Danio rerio: one gene and its partners. The protein of the gene in region 1 interacts with the protein of each later gene in a pairwise test. Links are inferred from orthologs where the notes say so. Each region holds a gene or a part of one and is shown in the gene's direction. Other genes may lie near its edges.

Region 1 (3,658 bases):
TTTCTGACAAATTCATTCCCATTATTATAACGACAGTTGTATTGCAAATACTTTGGCTAATCTATGGTTCATAAAGCAATCCCTTGGTTAATATGCAGTTACTATGGCTTACTAGTATTAAAAAAAATACTATGGCAAAATACCTATTTAAAATAATTTGTTTATTGAAATCTGGGGGGAAAACCCTTTTCTACTTAAATGATGTGTAAACTATTGTAATTGTTATCATTCTTAATGCAGTTCTTGGTATTTTGTACAGGTGTTGGTGGAGAATGGAACCAAGGAAGGTCATCAAATCCTTATGGAGGCCAGAGATGCTATACTAAAGGTTAAACTGATATTTTTTTGTTGTTAAAACATGACTTTCCATTTGAATAGTAGTAATACAACCTATGCATCCTTCAGAAGTACCTAAACGTGTCTGATTTTTCTATTGTAGAGAGAAGATGAGATACTGCATGACCCGAGGAGACCATCTATATTTGCTCCTGTGCGTTAAAACATCAAAATAACTTATTTCTGAAGTTTATTCTTATTTTTTCATCTTTAATAAGATATATTAAAATGTTTTATGCTGACATTGTCATCTGTATGGTTTCAATTTGGACAGTGCACGCACGAGCTGAAGTGTCCTAAGTTAATCAGGCAACCTGTGGTACCTTGTAACTTCTTCCAGTTCTACTACTCTCTGCCTCTATCACGGGTAAGTCCACAAATTTAGTTTCTGAATTGTGACAATCACCTCGAATGACTGAATTTCAGTTCAGTTGTTATCATGGCATGGACATATTTGAGGTATTTAGACAGTAGTTAAAGAGATAGTTCACCCAAAAATGAAAGTTTACTTAACATTTACTCCCCCTCAAATGGTTATAAATGAGTTTCTTTCTTCTGTTGAACACAAATGACGATATTTTGAAGAGCGCTGAAAGCCTTTAATCATTGACTCAATGAATCATTTGATCATTGAAACAAACACTATGCAAGTCACTGGTTAATCAAACAGTTTTGGAGCAAGTAAAAGATGAGTAAATGATGACAATTTTTGGGGGAACTATCACTTTACGATGATAGTTTATGAAAAAATAAGTAGGATAGGATAGGATCGAGTTTAAACAAAAAAAAGGAAAAAGGTGCTACAACGTTGCTCTAAGCAGACAACAAAATAAAACAAACAAAAGAATTAAGCAAAAACAATTAAGAACATACATTGTTTACAAAATAAGACCATATATAAATATATAATATATAAAGCACAGAACACAGTTAACGTACTACAGGTGCTCTGTTCTTGGTAGAGTTTTATCGAGGTAGGAACAAACGAAAGCGTTAATCTATTGGTTTTACGCATTGGCATTCTCAGTCTTTTTCCTGAAGATAGCAGCTGATATTCACTGAAAAGAGGATGTTTGGAATCAGCACTAATATTTATTGCTCTTCTCATGACCGCCTGATCATATAGAGTCTGTATGGGCTCATATTGTTGCATTCCTATCATTTTCATGGCTGCTTTTTAAATATAACCCAATTCATTTTTAAATCGAACAGAAAGATTTCCAAACCAGACTGTGATTCCATTGCAAATAAGACTTTCAAACATAGCTCGGTAAAAAATAAACAAGATATTGCTACCTACCCCATACAATCAGCATTCTTAAAAAATAAAGCCTCTGTTGTAGTTGTGTGCACAAGCTGTCAGTGTGTGTTCTCCAACAAAAAAACACTGTCCATATAGAACCTCAGATATCTGTAAGATGTAACTTGCTGTATCACTGTGTCTTTAATGATCACAGGCCTAAGTTCAGATACACTTCATTGGTCAAGGACCATTTCTTGTGTCTTTTTTACATTTAACACAAGACAGTTCTTGTCACATCACTGAACGAAATTAGCGATTTCACTGTGGTAGTATGAAAGGTCCATGTCTTTGTGTAAAAGACTTAGGATGGCAGTATCATCAGCATATTTCATAATATAAATAATAAAATGTGTGCTTCTGCAATCATTTGTGTACAAAGCAAAAAGGACAGGCGATGAAACACAACCTTGTGGCACTCCTGTATTTCTATATCTAACCTCAGAAAGTATCCCATTGACCCAGACCTGCTGAGCACTGTTACTTTAAAAAGAATTAAACAATATAATTCAGAAAGTACTGACAGCCATGTAATGCGACTTCTCTAAAAGCAGATGTGTCTGCACTGTATTAAATGCTGAACTAAAATCAACAAATAAAATATGAGCATAAGCTTTAGTATTTTCAAGATGCTTGGACACAAGATGAACAATAATGCTAAGAGCGGCATCCTCAGTGCTCCTGTTCTGCCTATAGGCAAACTGACATGTGTCTAAGAGTGGCTCTAGCTCTTTTTCCAGCAATGTGGTTTCAAATGTCCCAAATCTCACTTCAAAACATTAAAAAATGTATATAGGCCAAACTACATCGATACCTATGGCTCCTGGCGATACACTGATATCTTATTAAACATAACCAGGTTCCACGTAAATGCATTCATGAGAGAATGGGACACATTTTTCGTGTCACATAAAGATCAATACACATTTTTGGGAGAACTAGGCCTTTATAACATTCCTCTTTTCTTTATCCCTTTATATGAATCAACTGTCACAGAGCCAGGAAAGGCAGCAGGAGAGGTTTAGTTACCTGATTGTATCCCGTTCAGATGGAGAGAAGGCTCAGAAGGCTGAACATTGGGACATGGCTAGAGTGATCGCACAAGTCCATCGCCGACCCAGACACGTTCAGTGCCAGCTGTGCTGCGTAAATGGAGAACTCAAACAACTGGCTGTGACGGCCCGTCGTCATGGAAAGTATGGGACGCTTTCCTATAATAGATCTCTGCTATTTAGATTTTCAGTGAATGACCTTGACTTGTATTGATTCTAACAGGTTATGCAGGTGCAGTTCATTCTGGTAGTTGGCTTAAGGAATTTGTATTGTCTATTTTAACAGGGACATGTACAGATGTGCTCGTAACAGCGACTGGGGAGATCTGCTGCCAGTCTTTCATAAAGAAGATGAGCACACTATTAATGATGAGACGGAATGAGACCTGCGAGAAATCTGTTCATGCAGCGTGTGTGCAGTGAGGTTGTTTTGTATAAATGTATTGCTTGTTTGCAAATAAAATAGTTCTTGTATGCAACATGATATCTAAATGTCAGTTTTCATGTTATTTTTGTTTTCATGTTAAAAAGTTATCCCAACAGAGGTTAAAAGGCTATTTTTAAAGTCCCAATGAACCAGAAGCTGCAAACTGTGTTTTTTTTTTTGTGTTGTGATGATCACCATTTTAGTTTGTTGTCAAAACTGAGAGCTGGAGATGTGTGGTTTAATATATTAGCCACGCTCAATACCTAATATATATCTAATCTGACAATTTAACTGAAAAAAAATGTAGTTTCAGATTTCAATTAAAGATTAGAAGGGCAAACTATTTTTATTTTCTTAATGTCATGCACAGATGAATTGTTCACCACAAAACTGCCAATGTGAGCTAACAAAATCATATGGTTGGTTTTGATTTCTTTGGGACTTTAAGCATATTTCATATTTAAATTTTTAAGCATTACATTTTCAAGTGCAGTATAAACCTAAATAAGATATTAGAAAATTGATAAAAGTTCGAGAAAATAT
Region 2 (3,758 bases), on another chromosome or scaffold:
GAAAAACTTCACTATGGTGTTATCAAGACTTTCAAGAAAGAAAAGAAAATAATGTGAGACTGATAACGACAGACAGAAAATAGAACAACATCAAATTTACTGTCCTGCCCTATAGACGCTGCATTTCAAATGCCACACATAGGTGGTAATTTAATGCAAAGATGATGTAGCACATACATAAATACATAAAAATGTTAATAGTTTTTAAATAATCTATTAAAAATATATAAAAAGATTTAAGATAGGGCTGTATGATATTGGAAAAATGTAATGTAACCCACAGTTCCTACTGCACCTATTCCATTCTGAGCTGGGATCAAACTGGCGATTCTTTGTAATGGAAGCCGGTTGCTCTACCAGGGAGGCTAAAGACCATGGCCTCTAGCTTCTGTGTCTAGAATACCTTTTGAGGTCAGAGGAGTGACGTTTACCTGCGTAGCCCTTTGCTATCTGGCCTCCGTTACACTCACCCTCCTAAACCTCACTGCTCACTCCCATTCCAGACGAGCCCTCAAGTGTAACCCACCGGTTCCTCTGCACCCAACCCGGTCTGAGCTGTGACTGGCAATTTGTTGTATGGGAGTCGATTGCTCTAACAAGGAGGCTAAAGACCATGGCCTCTAGCGTTTGTCGTTAGAGCACCTTTTGAGGTTAGAGAAGTGAGGTTTACCTGCTTAGTACTTCGCTAGCTGGCCTCTGTTACACTCACCCCCCTAAGCCTCAGTCTCATCCTGGACGAGCCCCCAAGTGTAATCCACCAGTTCTACTGCACCCGACCTGGTCTGAGCTGGGATCGAAACGGTGATTCTTAGTATGGGAATTGGTTGCTTCAACAGGAAGTCTAAAGACCATGGCCTCTAGCGTCTTTCACTAGAGCACCTTTAGAAGACAGAGGAGGGAGAGGTTTACCTGCTTAGCACTTAGCTAGCTGGCCTCTGTTACAGTAACGTTGTGATATTTTGTTAAAATACAACTAGTAATCTACAAGCAAAGATCAATACTATAAGATGTAAATAAAATTGAATGGTTTTCTGATGAGTCTAACGGTATTTAAGTAGTAGTTGAATAATCAAATGTTAAATACTGTGTGTCTTTGTTTTATAAATAATCCTATAAAAAAGAAAGTTAGAAACAGTACAGTTTCTCAGGTCTGAATATATTTAATACCCTCAGTCACAGGCCTCAAAAACACACATAAGTCATAATTTATTATCCAGACTGTACATTGAGGGTCCTGCAATTTGACTATTGTATATGAGCACATTGCGATATCTATGCTGAAATGATATACAGCTTTAATTTAAGATGCTGATGATCGTTAAACGCGCCATAACAGTTCTTGTGAAAAGGGTCCATTGCACATCCCTACGTTATAAAAAACCTTTCTTTAATTTGGTTAAAGAGGTTTAAACTTTACTTTCACGTTCAAAGACATCAGCCAGGGTTCCTACACTTTTTGAAAGTACTTCGATTTTAGACATACGGATTTAAGGCTTGTAGAGTACTCAAAAACAAATCAGGTCCTTAATAGTGCTTGATTTAAATTTGAAATGAAGTTAGTTTAAGGTGTTATTGTAGCAATTGTACTGTCCTGCTGACAAAAACAGAACTAAAATGGAAAATTCTTTATATAAAAATATTACATTTACATCTTGTACAAAAACGATGACAAATAATGCACATTTCATGAAAGAGAGGAAACCCTGATCAATAAATGCTGGCATTTTAATTATCACTGAGAGAATTTCTGCAGGTCTTTAAAAGTCATTCACCCTTTTACAGTTTCTTAAATCAGAGCAGATAAAAATCATAAAACATGGGTGCAAACTTGTCACTTTTCAGTCACGTGACCAGTATTTTGACACAATGTGTTCTTTTAAAAAATAAATCTTTACTTGGTCATAAAGTCATAAATGTACCTTAATAAAAGCCCTAATAAAATAAGATTTGTTTTATGAAATGGGTCATGGTTATTTAAAACAAGTTAAATATCAAATCCTTTCTATTTAACTTGAGGTGTATTAAAATGTGTCATTTCACTTCAATATTTAATATTTATATTTTTTATTTTACATAAATATTTAATGTTTTCTACAAAAACTCTTAAAAAAAATACCCCCGTCACATTTTGATGAAATAAAACACAAACAGGTATTGACCTTATTCTTAGCCGACGAGCAGGCGCTGCCATTTGAATCTTTTTGGCACGAGACTTCCGGTCTCATTCACTTACATTCATTTTTAGACATTAAAAACTGCTCGTTTCGCTGTTTGATGTTGCAAACTGATATTTCTCTGTTATATTATTCTACTTGGTCTGTATAGTCATGCAAACATTTGTTTGTAGAGCAAGTAGTTTGACCATTTTCTGCCGTTTATTATTCCTAGTCATTTCTCCCATAGGCGACTGAAATGGAAGTTCTAAGACAATCGCGAAAACAGGCGCACTTCCGCAATTTAGAATGTCAATACAGTAGTAGAAAACATCAGTTATTTTAATTTAAAGTCTCTAGTCATAATTCTAACCTAGGATTAGGTGTAAAATAATGTCATAAGTCTGTAAAACTTTATAGCCTAAAAGAAAATAGAAATGTTTTTCTGGTGATTCAAGTTACCATACTGTTATTTTTTTTCTGCATCAACTCTTTGCATGTTAATCTTGCAGGAATGCCTCCTCCCGGTGCTTTCCCACCTGTTCCTCCTCCTGGCACAATGCCACCTGGGATGCCTCCCGGTATGCCCATGCCTCCAGCACCAGGTACTCCTGCGCCACAGGGCGGTGGAGGACCCCCACCGGGACACCCGCCCTTCCCTCCTGCTGGAATGCATCCGCCAGGAATGCCGCATATGCCGATGCCTCCAACGGGACCTCCAGGAATGGTGCCTCCCCCACCTGGCCCACCAGGATCTAACCAACCAAGAGCACCGCCTCCACCACAAATGCCTCCTCCACCCATGGGTGTCCCTCCCAGAGGACCCTTTGGACCCCCAATGGGTATGTATGTGTGTGTGTGTGAAGGAGACTGACTTGTTGTGTTAGTATGTATTGAAATCATGAAATAATATTAAATTATAAATTATAAATCATAGTATTATGAATATATCAGTATTTTATATGATCATTATCACAATATAATGATGGTTTATATATATATATATATATATATATATATATATATATATATATATATATATATATATATATATATAAAACGTGTATGTGTGTGTGTTTTTATTTATGCAATGATTTATACAAATCTTCATCTACTTTTAACAGGTCCACCAATGCATCCGGGTATGAGGGGTCCTCCTCCACCAATGCCGCCTCCAGGTTATGGTGCGGGACCACCCAGACCCCCACCCTTTGGTTTTCAGAGAGGGCCTCCCATGCCGCCTCGTCCTCCTGCACCCAGAGGTCCGATGAGAGCACCGGCACCTTCCTAAACCCCCATGTGAAGACCAAACTTTGTCTCGTTTTTATTTTACAGTCTGCGCTCTATTAGATGGATCTCTTGCTTCTTTGTACACAGATTTCTTAATTTTGGTCAATGTACCTTTTCGGAATTAGCAAGAATAAACAGTTTTATATAACATGGTGGTGGTATTTTAAGTGGACTTTTAAAAACTCTCTACTATCATCAAACATTAATATCGCTATAATATGAATACATAGAATCAGAAGGATAGGATTATAGTTCCTAGACATATCAGCCTAGAACAGGGATCACTAAACATGTTCCTGGAGGTCTGGTGTCCTG
Region 3 (3,758 bases), on another chromosome or scaffold:
ATCTAAAGTATTAACATAGTAGCCTATTCATCAAAACATGGAAATTGTTGCTTGGACCTCATAAATATAGGCTATATGTCATTGTCACATTCATACACTTATGAAATATATGTTGCAAGTACATATGACAGGGTTCATACAGGCGCTTAATGAAAATCAAGGACTTTTAAGCACTTTTTCCAGCACCTATTTTTATTTTCAAGACTGACACGCAACATATTGAAACATTGGTCCAGTAATTTTCCTATATAATATAATAGTAATTATATATTTACCTATATTGGTGATAAAACCTGCTTGGAAGTTCTGTTGATGTTTTCTCACCATTTGCTCATATACAGCTTCTGGAAACCTGGGTGAGGAAAACTGGCTTTACAGACACAAACTGTTTAAACAAAAAGATTCCCAAAAGTTCTGTCTCTCTCTCTCTTTCTCTATTTGCAGACGGTGCTGAGATTTGCATGCTGACCTTCATACGGAGAGCTGCCCTTTACACAGCATGCAGCAAAAAGAGCAACACAAAATGCCACAGAATCCGTAAATTTTGAAGAGCAGTATCTGTGAAGTGAGATTAGAGGCTTAGTAAATGCTGTCTGTTCAAAATGACTAACCTGAAAGGATGTTTTGAAAGATTGTGGAACATATCTGCTGAAGTCTTGTTTGCCAGTTATGTACATTTTAATATGTAATTACATTTAGTTGCACTAAAAATGCCAACTGTTCATAATAAATATTTTACAATGTATTTACATAATAAGAGTCTGGTAGGGAGCCCATATTCAAAAGTTAATTCTTTGCATCCATCTGGTGGACATTTGTTGTAACACCACTTTTTCTTAAGAGGGAAACGTCAGTACAGTGGCGCAAACTACGTTGTAGGCGTGGCTAGCTCATTCAGTTCTCCCATTGGTCTAAATCCAGGAAGCACTTCGTCGGTGTCAGTTTCCGCTGTTATTTGAATCAATAAACACACTCGAGTTTTCTTGTTTATAAAACGATAAATTGAAGATTTAATTGCTACAATTTAGCTCGTCTGTGGTTTAAGGTATGATTTAGAATAATACTGCTCAAAACACTTAACGTAAACGAAATGTATTAGCCGCGTTTGTAGACCTTATTTTTCATGTAGCGTTTTCAGTGTTTGTATGTTGTATCTACCGTGTGCTGTCACGTTTTAGCCCCTTTTATTAATGTTTCGCTAACTTTGTGGCCCCTAAAATTATATTAACTTCTAAGAATGTTATACTAGGGTTTTTATCTTGGTGAACATGGTAGTATTGTGAGTTATAGATCGAGTTATAAGCCAAAGATTGTGTACACGTTTTACAACTTAGCCCATGTTTTCACTCAGAAAATGCGTGTAAATCTCGCAAAATAGCAAGTTATATTAAACATGAAACGTCGACGTAGATCTATAGAGTTATACAGTAAACAAAGATTGTGTACGTATGTTTTACAACGTTGCCCTGTTTTATGTTTTCATTCAGAAAATGCACGTAAACCTCACAAAATAGCAAGTGTTACATTCAATTACAGATGAATCGTCAAAGTAGATATATTCACATAGTTTTTCTTATTGTAAAATCTTAAACAACATACAAAACTCCTACCAAAAAAGGTATTTGATGGTATAAGCACGCAATACCTTGCTCGGAAGTCACAAACATTACATAAATAGTATGCTACCTAACTAAAGTATTCTTGCTAGCAAATTTCAGTTCACTTCAAATGCATTTTTTATTTCTGTTTTACAAAAATCTCCATTTAAAAATAAAAATCTGCCAATGACATGTCATTTTATTAAGTTCAATTCAAGTGACCTTTATTTGAATAGCACTTTTACAATGTGGATTGTGTCAAAACAGCTTCACATAAAAGATCATAGCAAATTGAAATGGTGTATTTCAGTTTTCAAAGTTTAAGTTCAGTTCAGTTTAGCTCAGATCAGTGTTTTAATAATCACTACTTAGTCCAAACACTGAAGAGCAATCCATCGATGCGCAGGTCTACAGATCCCAAACCATGCAAGCTAGTGGCGTCAGCGGCGAGGAAAAAAAACTGCACCAATTGGCGAAAGTGGAAAAAAAAAAAAAAAAAAAAAAACATTAATTCGGTTCAATTCAAGTTTATCTGTGTATCGCTTTTCACAATAATTATTGTTTCAGTTATAATATATTACTACATTACAGTTTAAATTAGGACAGTTATGATATAGGTTGGACAGTATATAAACATTGTTAAATTGGATTTATACAGTATATAGTGTCCTTTTAAAATGGTAAAGTGCAATTTCAATAAAGTGCAAACTCAGCATCTATGTGTTTTCTCTTACAGGGCTTCTGATCGGGATGGAGCAGGTGAGCCCTTTTGTCTTTCCAGCGTGTGGAGGTGTTTCTTATTGTTCTTTGGGATAGTAATCTGATCTGGGTCTGTTCCCTCCATCTGCTGTGGGTGGACAGACCCTGATCAAGTCAGACAAAAAGTAGAAGATACAAGTAGATGCTTAAAATAGTGCAATAGCTCATCATTCATTTGTGATTTTCACTGACGAGCATGGATAGACAAGCTTTGCAATCCAGGGACAAAACATATGTGTTTTTGTGGACCTACAGCCAGTTTCAGGTAGCACAAAAGTGGAGATTCTGATAGTTTTACAGTTGTTTCTCCATGCATTAGTTTATTATTGTTGTTAATGCACGCTGCATATGTCATGCTTTTGCAGGAAGAACAGAGAGAATGGGACGCTGTAAACAGGTTGCTGCAGCATCACGGGTTTAAACCTGTCAGCTTTGCAGATCCAAAGGAAAACAAGAACCTTGCAGGTTATCTCATTTTAATAATTTGTTGCTGCAACTATGAAAAAAATGTAATTATTGGATTATTAAAGTTTGAAGTTAAATTATGGGATTAAATTTATTAACACATTTCTAATATGATTTTAGTCCTAATTTTTGCGTTTATTTTTTATATTTATTTTATTTTTTTAACTGTTCGCAAATATTATATCTTTCAAGTATACAATAAGAATTATAGTAGTTTAGATATTAGTCATTGACAATAACTGAAAAAAAGAACTAATGGTGATACTTGTTTTGTGTTTGTAGAGTTGGTTTTGTTGGAGCGAAAGTCTGCCTCTGATGTCCGCTTGATGTTGAAGACGATGCTATCGGATTCTGAAAGGAGACAAGGTTTAATTCAAGAGCTCATTCAGTCCAACAGCCAGTTAAAGTGAGTCTAGCTTTCATTATTAGTGTAACATGCCTTTAGTGTTGCTTAGAGGCCAAATATGTTTTAAAAGTTAAATAAATTCGAAATAATTTTATAATTATTTGTAATAAATATAGTTTTTTTAAGAAAAAAAAATTCAAATATCAGTATATGTGTGTGTGTGTGTATTTACTACTTGTATACAAATATCTTATTTTTGTCACCAAAATAGAATGTTTTACAGAATGATTTATAACATTTTAGATTATGACAAATCAATATTTCCTTTAGTTCTTGTTACTATATTACTGTAATACAAAAGTGAAAGTCACATTATTTTGTTATAATATTACTGTTTTTATTGTATTGATAAATATAATTGTCAATAAATCTGACAATTATATTTTCGTTATTGTCTAAATGAAGGTGTGTGTGTGTGTGTGTGTGTGTGTGTGTGTGTGTGTGTGTGTGTGTGTGTGTGTGTGTGTGTTTGTGTACACACAAACAATAAATTAAAAAATAGTTGATGCATAATTACATAATGTAATTTT

What was found.
Region 2: the proteins of mettl17 (region 1) and sf3b4 interact in binary tests that used the Homo sapiens proteins (3 or more experiments, as listed by UniProt). The link is inferred for Danio rerio from reciprocal best matches to the Homo sapiens genes METTL17 and SF3B4.
Region 3: the proteins of mettl17 (region 1) and cep70 interact in binary tests that used the Homo sapiens proteins (3 or more experiments, as listed by UniProt). The link is inferred for Danio rerio from reciprocal best matches to the Homo sapiens genes METTL17 and CEP70.

Annotation. Positions count from the first base shown.
Region 1 is NC_133177.1:40,850,638-40,854,295, reverse strand, and holds the end of mettl17 (ribosome assembly protein METTL17, mitochondrial), read left to right. Parts: intron 1-259; coding exon 260-328; intron 329-439; coding exon 440-490; intron 491-610; coding exon 611-703; intron 704-2,632; coding exon 2,633-2,832; intron 2,833-2,974; coding exon 2,975-3,071; 3' UTR 3,072-3,172; downstream 3,173-3,658. UniProt on the Homo sapiens protein: Mitochondrial ribosome (mitoribosome) assembly factor. Binds at the interface of the head and body domains of the mitochondrial small ribosomal subunit (mt-SSU), occluding the mRNA channel and preventing compaction of the head domain towards the body.
Region 2 is NC_133194.1:8,483,088-8,486,845, forward strand, and holds the end of sf3b4 (splicing factor 3B subunit 4), read left to right. Parts: intron 1-2,665; coding exon 2,666-2,995; intron 2,996-3,277; coding exon 3,278-3,444; 3' UTR 3,445-3,591; downstream 3,592-3,758. UniProt on the Homo sapiens protein: Component of the 17S U2 SnRNP complex of the spliceosome, a large ribonucleoprotein complex that removes introns from transcribed pre-mRNAs.
Region 3 is NC_133197.1:12,315,345-12,319,102, reverse strand, and holds the start of cep70 (centrosomal protein of 70 kDa), read left to right. Parts: upstream 1-940; 5' UTR 941-1,045; intron 1,046-2,334; 5' UTR 2,335-2,348; coding exon of another isoform or gene 2,349-2,357; 5' UTR 2,358-2,553; coding exon 2,554-2,622; intron 2,623-2,722; coding exon 2,723-2,822; intron 2,823-3,104; coding exon 3,105-3,228; intron 3,229-3,758.